3 linked regions of the Schizosaccharomyces pombe genome follow. The protein of the gene in region 1 purifies or fractionates together with the protein of each later gene. This does not show direct contact. Each region holds a gene or a part of one and is shown in the gene's direction. Other genes may lie near its edges.

The links. The genes of interacting proteins can lie anywhere in the genome.
Region 2: the proteins of tbp1 (region 1) and taf7 purify together in Schizosaccharomyces pombe (affinity purification with western blotting, with the first as the bait; one study listed by BioGRID). This does not show direct contact.
Region 3: the proteins of tbp1 (region 1) and taf1 purify together in Schizosaccharomyces pombe (affinity purification with western blotting, with the first as the bait; one study listed by BioGRID). This does not show direct contact.

The regions. Positions count from the first base shown.
Region 1 is NC_003424.3:4,413,018-4,418,078, forward strand, and holds tbp1 (TATA-binding protein (TBP)), read left to right. Parts: upstream 1-2,461; 5' UTR 2,462-2,529; coding exon 2,530-2,732; exon of another isoform or gene 2,733-2,987; coding exon 2,988-3,048; exon of another isoform or gene 3,049-3,100; coding exon 3,101-3,361; exon of another isoform or gene 3,362-3,431; coding exon 3,432-3,602; 3' UTR 3,603-4,134; downstream 4,135-5,061. Other genes in the region: SPOM_SPAC29E6.06C (cysteine--tRNA(Cys) ligase Crs1), read right to left, coding at 1-902; SPOM_SPAC29E6.07 (uncharacterized protein), read left to right, coding at 1,807-2,157; SPOM_SPAC29E6.09 (uncharacterized protein), read left to right, coding at 4,453-5,061. UniProt on the Schizosaccharomyces pombe protein: General transcription factor that functions at the core of the DNA-binding multiprotein factor TFIID.
Region 2 is NC_003424.3:2,171,910-2,175,837, reverse strand, and holds taf7 (transcription factor TFIID complex subunit Taf7), read left to right. Parts: upstream 1-2,050; 5' UTR 2,051-2,085; coding exon 2,086-2,413; exon of another isoform or gene 2,414-2,454; coding exon 2,455-3,308; 3' UTR 3,309-3,428; downstream 3,429-3,928. Other genes in the region: glycerol dehydrogenase Gld1, read left to right, coding at 1-830; mismatch repair ATPase msh1, read left to right, coding at 3,743-3,928. UniProt on the Schizosaccharomyces pombe protein: TAFs are components of the transcription factor IID (TFIID) complex that are essential for mediating regulation of RNA polymerase transcription. Also involved in the transport of mRNA from the nucleus to the cytoplasm.
Region 3 is NC_003424.3:836,100-842,062, forward strand, and holds taf1 (transcription factor TFIID complex, histone acetyltransferase subunit Taf111), read left to right. Parts: upstream 1-2,138; 5' UTR 2,139-2,220; coding exon 2,221-2,283; exon of another isoform or gene 2,284-2,325; coding exon 2,326-2,896; exon of another isoform or gene 2,897-2,911; intron 2,912-2,944; coding exon 2,945-3,093; intron 3,094-3,131; coding exon 3,132-5,288; 3' UTR 5,289-5,463; downstream 5,464-5,963. Other genes in the region: vacuolar amino acid transmembrane transporter Atg22, read left to right, coding at 284-1,873; RNA methyltransferase Tgs1, read right to left, coding at 5,473-5,760, 5,809-5,954.

The DNA.
Region 1 (5,061 bases):
TCTCGATTTCCTTTATTCCAGGGCTCCAATTTAGCATAAAAATGACCACCTTTTTCGAAAGCCTCTGTGTCGAAGTAAACGCTACCGTCTGTAACTGGATAAGCATAACCGCGATCGATAATGCGCTGAACAAAATCTACGATTTCAGGAACATATTCCGAAACTCGCGTAACAGCAGTAGGTGGCAAGACATTCAGATTAGCCATGTCCTTGTTGAAGTCATCTTCCCAATAAGCTGCAAGTTTACGAAAGATTGCAGGATCAGTCACGGTGCTACCCAATTCTGCATCAAGCAATGGGACCAAAACATCTTGTACCTTGGGCCAAAACCCATCCAAAGAAATGATTTCAGAAGCTTCACTCACCTGAAGAGCGTCCAAAGCAGACTTTAAAGCATCCACATGCATGGGTAACTTGGGATTGTTGATAGCTAAAGTGGGAATATCATGGGATGCGAGCCATTGAGGCCATTCACTCATCGAGGAGGGAGGTTCAGGAAGATTTTTCTTGGCATATGCAAACCAAGCCTCAGTAACCTTTTCACGAGCTTCTGAATGGGATTTGTTAGTACCTTGCTGCTTTTTATATTCTTCAAATAAATATTGTTGACGAGCTCTAAGGATAATTTTGTCATCTATATCAGTAACGTTTTGTACAAATGTAATGTTATATCCAAAATAAGATTGTAAGATTCTTCGAAGGATATCAGTTGTCACATAATTACGAGCATGCCCCATATGACTAGCATCATATACCGTAGGTCCACAGCAGTACCATGTTAAGTTGGAACCATTTGAAACAAAAGGCACCTTGCTATGAGTTAAGGTGTTGTATACATAGAGCTCCGTTCTTTGTCCTTTAGGAACACCCCAATGCGATTGAGCGGGATTTCTAGTCGACATTAGATTTTTATTAAAAAAGCGACTAGAACTATTGAAACAACGAGCCACGAGTTTAAAAATCGTGATTTTGATTATTTTGTCGTTGAGTTGGGTAAAAATTTGGCAGGATAACCTGAATTAAGATAACGGAGTATTTGATGCGCAATTTTACAGGTTATTGTTAGTACTTGAACTAAGCAAGCAAAAACATTTTGCAAACAAAAAATAAAAACAAAATTTCAATACCTAATTATATTTTTCCTCATATTAAACTAGTAAAGTAGCCAATAGATTTATTTCATCTTTTTTTTTTTTTTTTTTTGACGATATTATTGCAAATAAGTTGTTGGTTTCCATCTCAGCATACCAATTGATATGCTTTGAAAATGTCTTATCCGTATTAATCTTAGTTTTGTTGAATCGAAAATATTTAAACAACTCTGGTGTCCTCATATGTTTCTGCCTTCATTACAGATCTTCTATAGTTTTTGCATTAAAGCCATTTAATTGAATGACATTGTCAAGTTATTGATATTAGATAAAAATTTGAATTTTACATTTCAAAAAGTAAATATCATGTTATCTTATTTCTTTCTGTAAAGGATACTTTAAATTACTAACAAAGAAACTTTGAAATCATATTTTAGAACAATTTATTAATATGCATCAGGAGGTTATTATAACAAAGAATGACATTTATCTCAAAAGACTAACAATGGTTTATCGTCTCTTGGATACCGTTTAAAACAAATACTTCTTTTATAGTTTAAGAAAACCCTTATAAAGACTTGAGGGATTAATGATTTGTTTTTGTTTTCTTTAATTAAAAAAAAAAAAAAAAAAAAAAAAAAAAACTCAGATCGATTTATATTTTCTTTCTGCAATTTCACATTTTATTAATTGAATGATAAAATAACAAGTAGCGATGGAATACTATATTCGTGAAACGCTAATTACAGATTTTCAGGATGTTAAGACTTTAAAAAATAAAAGAAAATGCTTCAGTTTCTTTTTTGAACTTAGATTATTTTCCCCTCAATGTTTGTTTATAGTATATTTTTTTTATTTACTACACGTGAGAATAAACACCTCTCCTTTGTTTATAAAAACTACGACACGACCAACAGCGTTAATCCATATAACAAAATACAGTGAAGCGTTAGCGTCGAGACTGCTGAAAGGGCATATGACGCAGCTCTCACTCCGTACCATCCTTCCACCTGCGCACACAAAAAATTTACATCGCCAGCAACCAACTACTTGGTTAGATAGCTAGTGCCTTTGTTCAAATTTTATACCAAAGCTTGATTCAGCTTTTCTAGACTAAATGCGGTACTTTATTTTGCACTTCCTATACTCATTTTCGTCTATATCTCGTTCGTATTGCGTTTGAAGGACTTTTTTTTGTAAACGAGAAATTTATACATAGAAGCTAATAAGAAAGTTGTAAAAACGTATTTTATAAATAAAAAATCGCGCATTTCTTTACTATTCAGCCATCGCCGCGGTTTCACAACACTCAGAAACCCTAACCCTGAAAGATCGGGTATATATAAATAAGTGCAGCAGCCGTCACCTGCAGGCTTTCCATTAGGGGTGGGATAACGCAATTCTACGAGTAGCGTAAAATAATAATTGATTTACTGCAATGGATTTCGCTTTACCCACCACGGCCTCGCAAGCGAGTGCCTTTATGAATAACTCTTCTTTAACGTTCCCTGTTCTCCCCAATGCCAATAACGAGGCTACAAATGAGACGGCAGATTCCGGGGATGCAGAAGTTTCAAAAAATGAAGGTGTATCTGGCATTGTTCCAACCCTTCAAAATATTGTTGCTACTGTAAACTTAGAGTAAGTCGTGCCTCTTTGGATAGGGAACAAGGCGTATTGCCGTCGCGGTGAGTTCATCGGAAATCTTTTGTATAGACATGGCGTTTGGGTAAGAGCGATTGTTAATGGTTATTTGATTTTTGTTTTGTTTATATTTAACTACCATGTCACGAGATTTCCGAAGGCAATGACCGCAGGGGATGATACGTCTCGTTAACAAAATTTTCCATTGAGTTAGCAAATTAGACCTTATTACTAATAATCCTCTTAAAATAGCTGTCGTCTTGATCTCAAAACTATTGCGCTACATGCACGTAATGCAGAATACAACCCAAAAGTACGTTAAACCCTTTTAATTTTGTTTGAGGTCTGTTATTGACCAAACATAGCGTTTTGCCGCTGTTATTATGCGTATCCGTGAACCCAAGTCTACTGCATTGATTTTCGCGTCTGGTAAAATGGTTGTTTTGGGTGGCAAATCCGAGGATGACTCCAAGCTCGCGTCTAGAAAGTATGCGCGTATCATCCAAAAACTCGGTTTTAATGCCAAGTTCACGGATTTTAAGATTCAGAACATTGTAGGAAGTTGCGATGTTAAATTTCCAATTCGTTTGGAAGGTTTGGCTTACTCCCACGGTACTTTCTCATCTGTAAGTTCATCATCTTTAAAGATGTTGTTGCTGTTAAAAGACGAATAAGTATCTAACTGTTCTTTTTTAGTATGAGCCTGAGTTGTTTCCCGGTTTGATTTATCGCATGGTAAAACCAAAAGTTGTTCTATTGATTTTTGTTTCTGGTAAAATTGTTTTAACTGGTGCGAAAGTCCGTGAGGAAATTTACCAAGCTTTTGAAGCCATTTATCCAGTATTGTCTGAATTTCGAAAACATTAAGGCATGTCAACAGTTATCACACAGTTTTGTGTCAATGTTCATGGGTATTGTTGGGTAAAAGACCTTAGTCGGGGTCAGGTTATTTTTTGATCTTTAACATTAAACCCTTAAAAAGCTTTCCGGAGAATCCCCTTCACTGTAAGTCATCATTTATGAGTATTTTTATATGATGCAGATGATAGAGACATCCTTTGAAAAGTTTTTTCTTCAAAATCAGAAACTGATCTGTGAGTTTCTTCTTTTACGGCGCAACACAGCTTTATTCAAGAAAACTATAGAGGCTGAAATTGCGTATCTTATTTGAAAACCTGCAGTTGATGAATGTGTGCTCTTAAAAGTGCGTGCAAGTGTCTTCGCGATACTACTTGTTTTCCTCTGTGTTTATCATTAAACATTAGTTGAGCATTGCTTCATTAAATCTTCTAGCTTCAGGACTGGTGGCCAAATCGGTACAATGTTCTGTATAGCTTTGTATAATTCATTTTTTCATGATCGTGTAATAATAATAATAATCTTTTAAAAATTGAAATAATTTGGTTTTAGTCTGAAGAGCGTATATCGACAGTTCTTAAAAAGTATTGATTCCATTCGAAAATTAGACGATTATGATACTATGGAGTTTAAAGGAACTGAGTATCTGCTGTTCCTGTAAAATACTTTAAGTTCTTAATAGCGCTAATAGAAGGAAATGCGTAAACATGAACACTAATACGGTAATCGAATAACGACGAGCCTGTGGCACCTAAAAAAAGAGTAATAAAATGAGTTTGTATAGCAAGCAGAAGCAGCCAACATCTAACTAAGTCGCGATTTGCAATATAATCGCTTTTTACATATAAAAAAAAACCAAATGTTGTCTGAACTTCCTGAAGTGATATTTAAAGGGACTGAGTTTGAAGAGCAATTGTCGAATTTAACATCGGACAGCCAGGCGAATAAAAGAGTTTATGAAGATTATGATTTTAAGGATGAAACATCAGCAAAACCAATTCCCACAGAAAAAAAATTAAAAGTATTTAAAAAGGATGATAATGTGGAGACATTACTATCTGCTTTAGAAATTCAAAATGAGAAATCGAAGCAACAAGTCGAGTATTCCTTTATCCCACTGAAGCAGGACGATGGTGATATCTTAACATCACCTGGAGATTTCGAAAATGCATCAACATCCCCGGTTTCAGATGTCACTTATGTAAACACTAAATTAGTAGATTTTATATCTTCTGTCCTTCTAGAGGAGAATCAGGGTCTTGCTTTGCATCAGTTAACGCTAAAGTTGATAAATATTGGCGAATCTTTTCACTCACTTCTTCCAATTAATCTACCTTATGAACCTTACGTTATTGCTAATTATGTGGAGCGCCAATTAAGGAGTTATATATCTGATACTTCCTCGAGCAAGCAAAGTTTATTATCTTTAAAAAATTCTTCGAATGGTACCGTTTATGTTTCTACAACT
Region 2 (3,928 bases), 2.2 Mb from region 1:
GTCCTACTACTGCCTCCTCTGATGCCGCTACTTCCTCTCTTTCCGTCATTTACACTCCTGACGGTCAATTCCAAAAATACAGCTTTTACCCCCTTAATCCCAACCTCATTTTCATCGATACCGATGTGATTGTTCGCGCTCCCGTCCGCTTCCTTATTAGTGGCATTGGTGATGCTTTGTCCACCTGGGTGGAAACTGAATCCGTTATTCGCTCAAATTCCACTTCCTTTGCCGGAGGTGTGGCCTCCATTGCTGGCCGTTACATTGCCCGTGCTTGCAAAGACACTCTTGAAAAGTATGCCCTGAGCGCTATTCTTTCCAACACTCGCGGTGTTTGTACCGAGGCATTTGAGAACGTGGTCGAGGCCAACACATTGATGTCTGGTCTAGGCTTTGAAAACGGTGGTCTTGCTGCTGCTCATGCCATCCATAACGGTATGACCGCCATCCACGGTCCCGTTCATCGTTTAATGCATGGTGAAAAGGTTGCTTACGGTACCTTAGTTCAAGTTGTTTTGGAGGATTGGCCGTTGGAAGACTTCAATAATCTTGCTTCTTTTATGGCAAAATGTCATCTTCCCATTACCCTTGAGGAACTTGGTATTCCCAACGTAACCGATGAAGAGTTATTGATGGTAGGTAGAGCTACTTTGCGACCTGATGAGAGTATTCACAACATGTCAAAGAAGTTCAATCCATCTCAAATTGCTGACGCTATTAAAGCCGTTGACTCCTATTCACAAAAATGGCAAGAACAAACTGGATGGACCGAGCGTTTTAGATTACCCCCTTCTCGTCATAGTCCTCACTTGACCGACATTCATCCATAGGCATTATTTTTATCCCCAGCTTCAATTTTCCCTAGTAAATCCAAAAGAAGAAAAGAAATTTTTAAGCGGGTTTTCTTCATTGATCATTAATGTCCTGAGTGTTTTTTTTTCTATAGTAGTCTTTTATTTCGTGTGCTTCCTTTCCTCTTGGAACTTTTTTTACCTTTTTTCTTTCTTCCTTTTTTTTATTTTTTTAAAAAAGTTGTAAGCTTTTCCCGTTAATCTAGTGATTTAATGATCAACCTTTTCGGCCTACTCCAAAGTTTTTTACGCCCCTTATAACTTCATGAATAATTTGCTTTATTTTTGTTACGAATGAAAAAAATTGTTCCCCTTTTCAAATGAATGTTTTATCGTTGTTAGTTGTATTGTATTAAAGTTGTTCACCGTAATTGATCTATTTGTTACAATGCACATCATCTGTGTTGCTTCCTTTTTTTTTTTTTTTTTTTGCAATCGCTTTTTATTGTGATAGATTTCAAAAGTTTTAAATGTAATTACAATTAATAATGTTCCTATGTTAGAAAACTTTAAATAACTAAAGTGATTTGTTTTCACGTATTATACAATTGTCGCTAGTGGCCTTGTCAAACATTCGTTGTTATTATATTATATGCTAACTCAATATGATTAGTATGCTACAAATGGTATAATAAGTGAGTAAATCCCGGATTCCTAGCTACATTGAAAACCCTTTTTACCTTAACCTTTGCATCGATCAACAATTTCGCGCTTTATTTACATTGTTTACTGTGGGATAAATAAGTAGTGTTGTCAACAATACATTACTCAAGGATACACTACGTTGAGTATCACTATATGACACATGTCCTAATCATTCATCGTTGTATGAAACAGTATTGAGATTGACCTTAATAATAATCTATTAATATTTTTATTATCTGAATACTATAAATAGGGCTACTGCCGAACCTTGTTCCTCAGTTCAGTAGTTTAGCTATGTCGGTGATCGATACTAATGGACTTCTTATAGTAACAAATATACATTGTTAGTTAAACATACCACATACCGCTATACTGTAGGTCGCAAGAGAAACTCACCGCAGTTCTATGAATCGTTAAATAGATACCAAACTGCGTAGCTGACAGGTGTTTGCAGATAACGATTGTATTAAAAAAATGTTGTAAATCACTATGGCTCGTTAGTAGTAGATAACGAGACTCACTTGAAGGTTTAGCGACTTGCTAATCGAGCGTTTGCCAACGACAATTACTCAAAAGGCGGTTTTCGAAAATGGTTAAGCTAAAAATTCGTGCTGTTCAGCCTCCTCCAAATGATTCACGATCTAGCACTCCAGCCACTGGTCCTCCTCCCCCAATTCCTAAAATTAAGATCAAGACACGTGAACCTAAAGGCCCTCGATTGACAAAAATTCGGTTAAAAAGAGTTCGCGAACCTGGCTTAGGATATGATTCAGAAGCTTCTGACAGAGAAGAAGACACTTATATTGAAGAACAAATTATATTACGTCTTCCTCCTGGTGAAGATTGTGAGTATGTTCGAAAAGCAATTGAAAATAGGGAAGTGGGACGAGGTGCAGACATATGGGTGAAGTTCAAAGGTAATGACTTGGTTACACTATATTATTATTAACAGAGTTAGATCAAAGAAGAGCGGTTGTTCATGTTAATGGTCATTTGTACGCTGCGAAGTTAGTTGATTTGCCATGCATCATAGAATCTAATAAATCATTCGACAAAAAAGTTATCTTCAAGGCTGCTGACATCTGTCAAATGTTGATAGCTACAGAAAGAATCGAGCACGAAAATTCTGTTCTCAATACTCAGTTAAAGCAAGCTGATTACATTTATCCACATGGATTGACGACGCCAATGCATTGGGTGCGGCAGAAGCGATTTCGAAAACGTGTTTCGAACAGAACAATCGAAGCAGTTGAAAATGAGGTTGACCGATTGCTTGCAATGGATGAACGCGCTGAAAGTACATCGAATGAGTTGATTGATCAAGCACAATTGGCTCGTGACTCAAGCATCGCTCTTTCAGAGGATACATCGTTTGATGGAATGGCAGGACTTCGTGGTACCAGCATCGATCGGGACGACCAAAGCGTGCAAACTGATATGTTTGATGGTATGGATGAGGACGATTTGGCTGGACAGATTGAACAGGGTATGCTTGAGCTTAGTCAAGATACTCGGGAGTCAACAGCAGAACCTCGTGCCGCAGGTGAAGAATCTGCTAGTGAAGAAGAAGAAGAGGAGGAAGAAGAAGAAGAAGAGGAAAATGAAGCTGACGATGAGACTCGCGAAAATAAACGACAAAATAGACTTGTTCGTGAGTTTATTTCAGAGTTGGAGTCTTCTATTCAAAAACGTAGAAAGGATGCCGATGAAGCAACTAATCCCATTCTACGAAATCGTTTCCTTGCAGACGTTAATCGTATGGTGACCGAGTTAGAGTTAAAACGTACTCAACTTGTCGATAACCCTGAATAAATGTGTTGCGTAGTTACATCTTTTTACATTTTTTTTTAAAGAAAAAAGCATTTATTTCTATACGTTTTACCTTTTGCATATCAGCTACAATAATAATGAACATCGGTTATGGTTTGGATATATATACATATATTTATATTTTATATAGTAGATTGTAAATTGCATATTAAGTATTTTAGACACTGATAGCCAGAATTAGTTTTGTTAATGAAGTGTACCGAACTTTATTACAACAATCATTTTTCTGCATAAGCAATTCTATTTAAACGTATACATATATTTATTAATATACATTTATATGCTCATAAATAAATTTATATACTTGAAGATTACTATTTCTTCAACTTGACAATGATGCATTCATTGTCGCTTATAGTAACATAAACTTTTGCTAACTCTACAAAAAAACCCTTCCATTCGGTAACCTGAAAATTATGCCGACATGGAGGTATATTTTTTCATTAAGAAGTAAATCTTCTTTCACTAAAACCTGGGTACCGTTTACTCAAATTCGAAATTCTAGTAAATCCCCCAAAGTCGGCCAAAAGCCAATTTTACAAGGCGCGTTAGGACCTCCGTTAGATTTTATTAGACCGAAGGAAAAAGTAACTCTACCTCCT
Region 3 (5,963 bases), 3.6 Mb from region 1:
AGCTATTATTAAATGATACAATAATTATTTAGTTGATCGCTTAAAAATTTTTTAGAAGCAGCCATGATTGTATCTATTTTGTTTGTTTTGTCCATGCATTGTTTGGTCTCCCCCCGAGCAGTTATGTCCCTATTGCGTAGCTAATAAATCCGCTACACCAACCACAATTTTAAGATAACTACAACAGTTTACTTTTCTTTTCTCATTCCCTTTCAAAATTTATGTTTTCATATTATCTTCAGTAATTTGTATTTCCATAGTTTTTGACGATTGAGCTATCAATATGAATTCTCCAATACAACTTCACAAGAAGTTTTCCACTACAGTTTGGCATGTTCTGAGCTGGATTCTTTATGCAGTTGGGGCAGGTCCTACTGCAATTATAAGTATGGGGGTGTATGTTCCTTTAATTGTTATGAAAAATGCCCATGATCATGGTTTTTTAAGAACAGATCACACAATTCCTTGTTCTTTATATCCAGAAGAACCTTGCTCTTTGAATATAGTTGGTCCGCTATGGATTGATGTTAGTTCTATTGTATTCGCTGCATCAGCTATTTCAACTTTTTTACAGATGGCTATGATGGTTAGCTTGGGTGTTATTTGCGATTATGGAAATAACAGAAGATACATCTTGTTTTCATGCGTTATCATAGGTTCTATTAGTGGTATTATACTTTCGTGGAGTCCCTCGAGTTTTCTTTTGGGAAAAATAGTGTTTTTGATTCTGGTCGACTTGAACTTTATTATATCTCAATCCTGCTATGACAGCTTTCTCCCTATTTTTTTGAGATTCTACCCTATCACGAGAGGACCTATAACATTGGAATCCGCTCTTCAGGATGAAACAGATGACCTAGATAGCTACATAACAAATACCACCATTGATTCTAGTGAAGAAGAGCCCTATTTGCTTGAACACAGCCTAATACTTAATGAATCCGCTCCTCCTGCAGATGTGGAAGATGAACACAAGGCTAAAATCGCTGCTCGATTATCAAGCGTTGGCTTCGGTAGCTTCTTCGGCGCTGCTATTCTCTTTCAGATTATTTTTACTCCCATTTTGTACAAAACTAATAACAATCCAATAATCTTGCCAATAACTGTTACAGTGTGTTCATGTTGGTGGCTTATACTTTCAACCCCCCTTTGTACCATTGTTACACTACCTGTGGAAAATCACTCAAGTGATGCTATCCTGACACTACTTTATAATAGTGTGAAAGAGTCGTATCATTCATTCAAGCATGCAATGAGTATTTCTTCGATTAGGCTATTCCTATTTTCACGACTCTTCATTAATTGTGGAATTCAAACTTCTCTTTCTTCTGCCGTTATTTTTGGAAAAGCAAGGTTGAATCTCTCTAACTTTCAGCTGACTTTGCTAGGAATGGGAATATCTTCTTTCGCATTGTTAGGCACCGTAATTATACCCTATCTTACTGAGTATTTTCAACTGAACTCGTTACAAGTAGTAATGATTATTTCCATCCTCTTGCCGATGGCTCCTTTATATGGCCTTTTGGGTTACATTCCTGGATTTGAAAATGCTGGAATACGAACATCAGCTGACGTTTTCCGGGCTACTTTATTCTTTGGCTTTTTCTTAGGAGGTGCGCATAGTTATTGTAGGTCCGTATACGCTCAACTAGTGCCATCTGGAAAAGAAACTAGATTCTTTGCCCTCTACGCTTTGATATCACAAACCGGTGTGTTATTTAGCCATATTTCTTTAACACTTATTTCGAACTACACATCTGATTTACGTGCCGTCTACATTTTTGTAATTGTTGTTATGACTTTACCTTTGTCTTCTTTATGGATAATGTATCAACACAGCAAAACCCCCAACTTGCATAGGTCCTCCTCTTAACTCACCCACTAGCATTTATTTATTGATTTAATTAAACAAGTCTGCGGTTCTTTATTTTTTCGAGACATTAAACTATTGATTAATGTACAGTGAGCGCCAAGCCTAATTATTTTCATGAGTCTTTCCAATTAATAAACGAAATTATCGAGGATTTAATAGTTAATAGATATATATTATTATATGAATTTAATTCTGTCACCCAAGATTCATCAGTAAGCTAATGTTACCTGAGTCTATATTCATCGGCAGACGAAAAGTATCCCTTAGCCAACACCCATTTCGCCACAAGTCGATTAATATCATATATAACGGCTTAGTGAGGCCATACATAAATTTTGAAATATATTATGTCTTTTGATGGTCTTATAGTTGAAAATGAAAATACGAAATCTGGATACAATGATGGAAATGTAGGTATTTTGAAATCTATAATCTTAAACTAACGAATGTAGGACCTGACAGATTTATTTAAGCAAAATGGTACAGACATGTCTGTAATAAATTCTCTTTTAGGAGATACAAACAATCCAGGGATGAATGAGTCCCCAAAAATTTTAGATTCTAGTTTTGAAAATTCCAACCCTCAGGATGGACCAAATTATGAAGATTTTGACTTTATGGGTTCAATTCATAAGGAATTTGGTAATAACATAAATGAAATGGATGATATGGAAGATGTAAGTGATGATAATCTACCAGAGGAAGAACAAGCTGTAAATTACACCGGGGATAAGGATGATGAAGATTTTGGAAAGCTTTTAGCTAAAGAAATGGGTGAAGAGGCTGCTGGTCAGGTCCTCAGCGGAGTAGGCTTTTCAATTCCATCGGGATTAGTTCCACCTTCCGAACCTTCGAAAACTGTTTCTTCTACTACAGAAGAATTACAAAACGAAGCTCAAATTAGGGAGAGCATTGTCAAAACTTTTTTTCCGACCTTTGAACGTGGTGTTTTGTTGAACTTTTCAGAACTTTTTAAGCCGAAACCTGTTAAGCTTGCTCCTCCAAAGAAAAAGACCCCAAAAGGTATGAATTGATTATTGTTGTATTTTTTTACTGATCTGACATGTTAAGTTTGCGTACCTGGTCGTTTAACGTTAGAAGTCGATACAGATTACGCAATAATATTCAATAGCAAGAAGTCTTTACCATTAAAGCGAAATGTTGTGTCTCCAATATCTACGCATACAAAAAAGCGAAGAAGAACAGCTAATACATCACAGGTATGGTTTGATTTAGAATAGCTTTCACTAACCGAAAGAGGAATGACGGCTTGGATCTCAACACCGTTTTTACTACTAATGATTGGGAAAAAAATATTATTTACGATGAGAGTGATGTTAACAAAACTAATCAATCATCATTTTTTATTGACAAATCACTAGTTGATATTGATTTTGCATTTGATGAAAACATTTTTGACGGAGACACTGGTACCTCGAAAGTAGTATTAAATTTAAATGACCCCAAACTTTTGTTACAACCTCAATTGCCGAAGAAAGAGGATTCCCAAAGATCTTTTGCAGACACCCATCAAAGGAATTCCCTGGCTTGGAAGTTTAATATATCCAACGATCCTGCCTATGAGATGTTAAAACAAAATCATCAGTCAAAAGTTCGTAATACCTTGTCCCAGTTAGCAATTGAGCATGCTGCCTTTGCCGAAAAGCTCACATTTCCTTACTATAAAACAAGACTTAGTAAGCGTGCTGTTCGAAGTTACCATCGACCAACCATGTCGTTCAAACCTAATGCAGCTATTGTCTTTTCACCTTTAATAGTAAGGAAAAGAAGTAAAGATAAACATAAGTCTGAACGAGAATTAATTCCTACTACTAAGGAGATAACAATGGGTGATACCACACATGCAATACTCGTTGAGTTCTCAGAAGAACATCCTGCAGTGCTGTCCAATGCAGGTATGGCCAGCAGGATCGTTAATTATTATCGAAAGAAAAATGAACAGGATGAATCACGTCCCAAGCTCGAAGTTGGTGAAAGCCACGTTTTAGATGTTCAGGATCGGAGCCCTTTTTGGAATTTTGGATCTGTTGAACCTGGAGAAATTACTCCCACTTTGTATAATAAAATGATTAGAGCTCCGTTATTTAAGCATGAGGTACCACCTACTGACTTCATTCTAATACGGAATTCTAGTAGCTATGGCTCAAAATATTACTTAAAAAACATTAATCATATGTTCGTGAGTGGTCAAACTTTTCCTGTTACTGACGTGCCTGGGCCCCATTCCCGTAAAGTGACCACAGCAAGTAAAAATCGATTAAAAATGCTTGTTTTCCGGCTTATTAGGCGTTCACCAAATGGAGGATTGTTCATTCGACAATTATCAAAGCACTTCTCCGATCAGAATGAGATGCAAATTAGACAGCGTCTTAAAGAATTTATGGAATACAAAAAGAAAGGTGATGGTCCAGGTTACTGGAAATTAAAATCGAATGAAGTTGTCCCCGATGAAGCAGGTACACGGTCAATGGTTTCACCTGAAACAGTGTGCTTACTAGAGAGTATGCAAGTGGGTGTGCGGCAGCTTGAAGATGCTGGGTATGGGAAAACAATGGATGAGATCAATGATGATGAAGATGAAGAACAACCAGCAGAGCAACTGTTAGCGCCTTGGATTACTACGAGAAACTTTATAAATGCTACCCAAGGGAAGGCCATGCTTACACTGTTTGGTGAGGGTGACCCTACAGGAATTGGCGAAGGTTATAGTTTTATTCGTACGAGCATGAAGGGTGGTTTCAAACCCGCTGGCGAAACCGCCGACGATAAGCCAGAACCGCAAACTAAGAATGCTCACGCCTATAATGTTGCAAAGCAACAAAGGGCTTATGAAGAAGAAATAAATAGGATTTGGAATGCTCAGAAAAGAGGTTTAAGTATAAATAATCTGGAAGAATTGGCTAAAAAATATGGCATCAATTCTATACATGATGATTACGTTGAATCTAATGAGGAGACTACGAGAGAAGAAACTCCATCTTCTGATAAAGTTTTACGAATTGTTCGACTTTATCGTGACAAAAATGGAAATTTGGAACGTAAACAGGAAACCATTCATGACCCGATAGTCATCCATGCCTATCTGAAGAAGAGGCGTGAGATTGACGAACAATCAACTGCTCTTGATGCCGTCGTACCAACTGGAGACGAAGCAATTGATAGACGCAACCGAAGGCGTCTTGAACAAGAACTTGCCAAGAGTCAGAAGAATTGGGAGCGACGAAGAGCTCGACATGCTGCCAAAGAAGGAATCAACTTGAACGGAGAAGGACGAAAACCCACTACTCGCAAATGTAGTAACTGTGGTCAAGTGGGCCACATGAAGACCAACAAAATATGTCCCTTATTTGGTAGACCTGAAGGAGGTTTGGCTACTATGCTCGACAAAAACTAAAATAATACTGAGTGTTATAAAGAATATTTGACATCTCATGATGGGCGTCGATCGCTCCTTTTTTGTTTATTGGTGATGAATCTAATTATAACGATATTCATTGTAGAAAATGTTAATAATCAATTTATGTTTATGAAATCAAATATATAGTTGACGAACTTCACGTGAAAATGAGTTGAAACTTTCAAATTTTTCGCGCAATAGCACCCTTCATATTAAAATAGCAGCAAATTGCCTTGGCATATCCTTCAAATAAAAAATTGGTAATATAAGGCTTGTTATGAATACTCCCATATGCTGCAAGTTCCTTTACATCAGTGTTTCTTGGCAAAAATGCAGCAACATAAGGGGATATCCTAGTTGCTTCTTTAAATAGAACATCAAAAGCATATGGGTTTAGGTCATTTAATGAATATACTGTTTTTCCTGAGTAACTAGGTCCACCCCAAGGAGGACTCATAAAAACAAGAGACTAGAAAATATTGTTAAACACAGAATTAATATATAAGATTATCTATACCCTGTAATCTTTAGCAAACTGCAAAGATTTAAAAGTGTCAAGAACGTCTCCTTGAATGAAAGTGACTCGAGATGAAGGAATGCCATAAATTTCCAAATTATGCTTTGCCATAGCGATTTTGATAGGATCGATCTCAATTGAGATTACTGAAACAA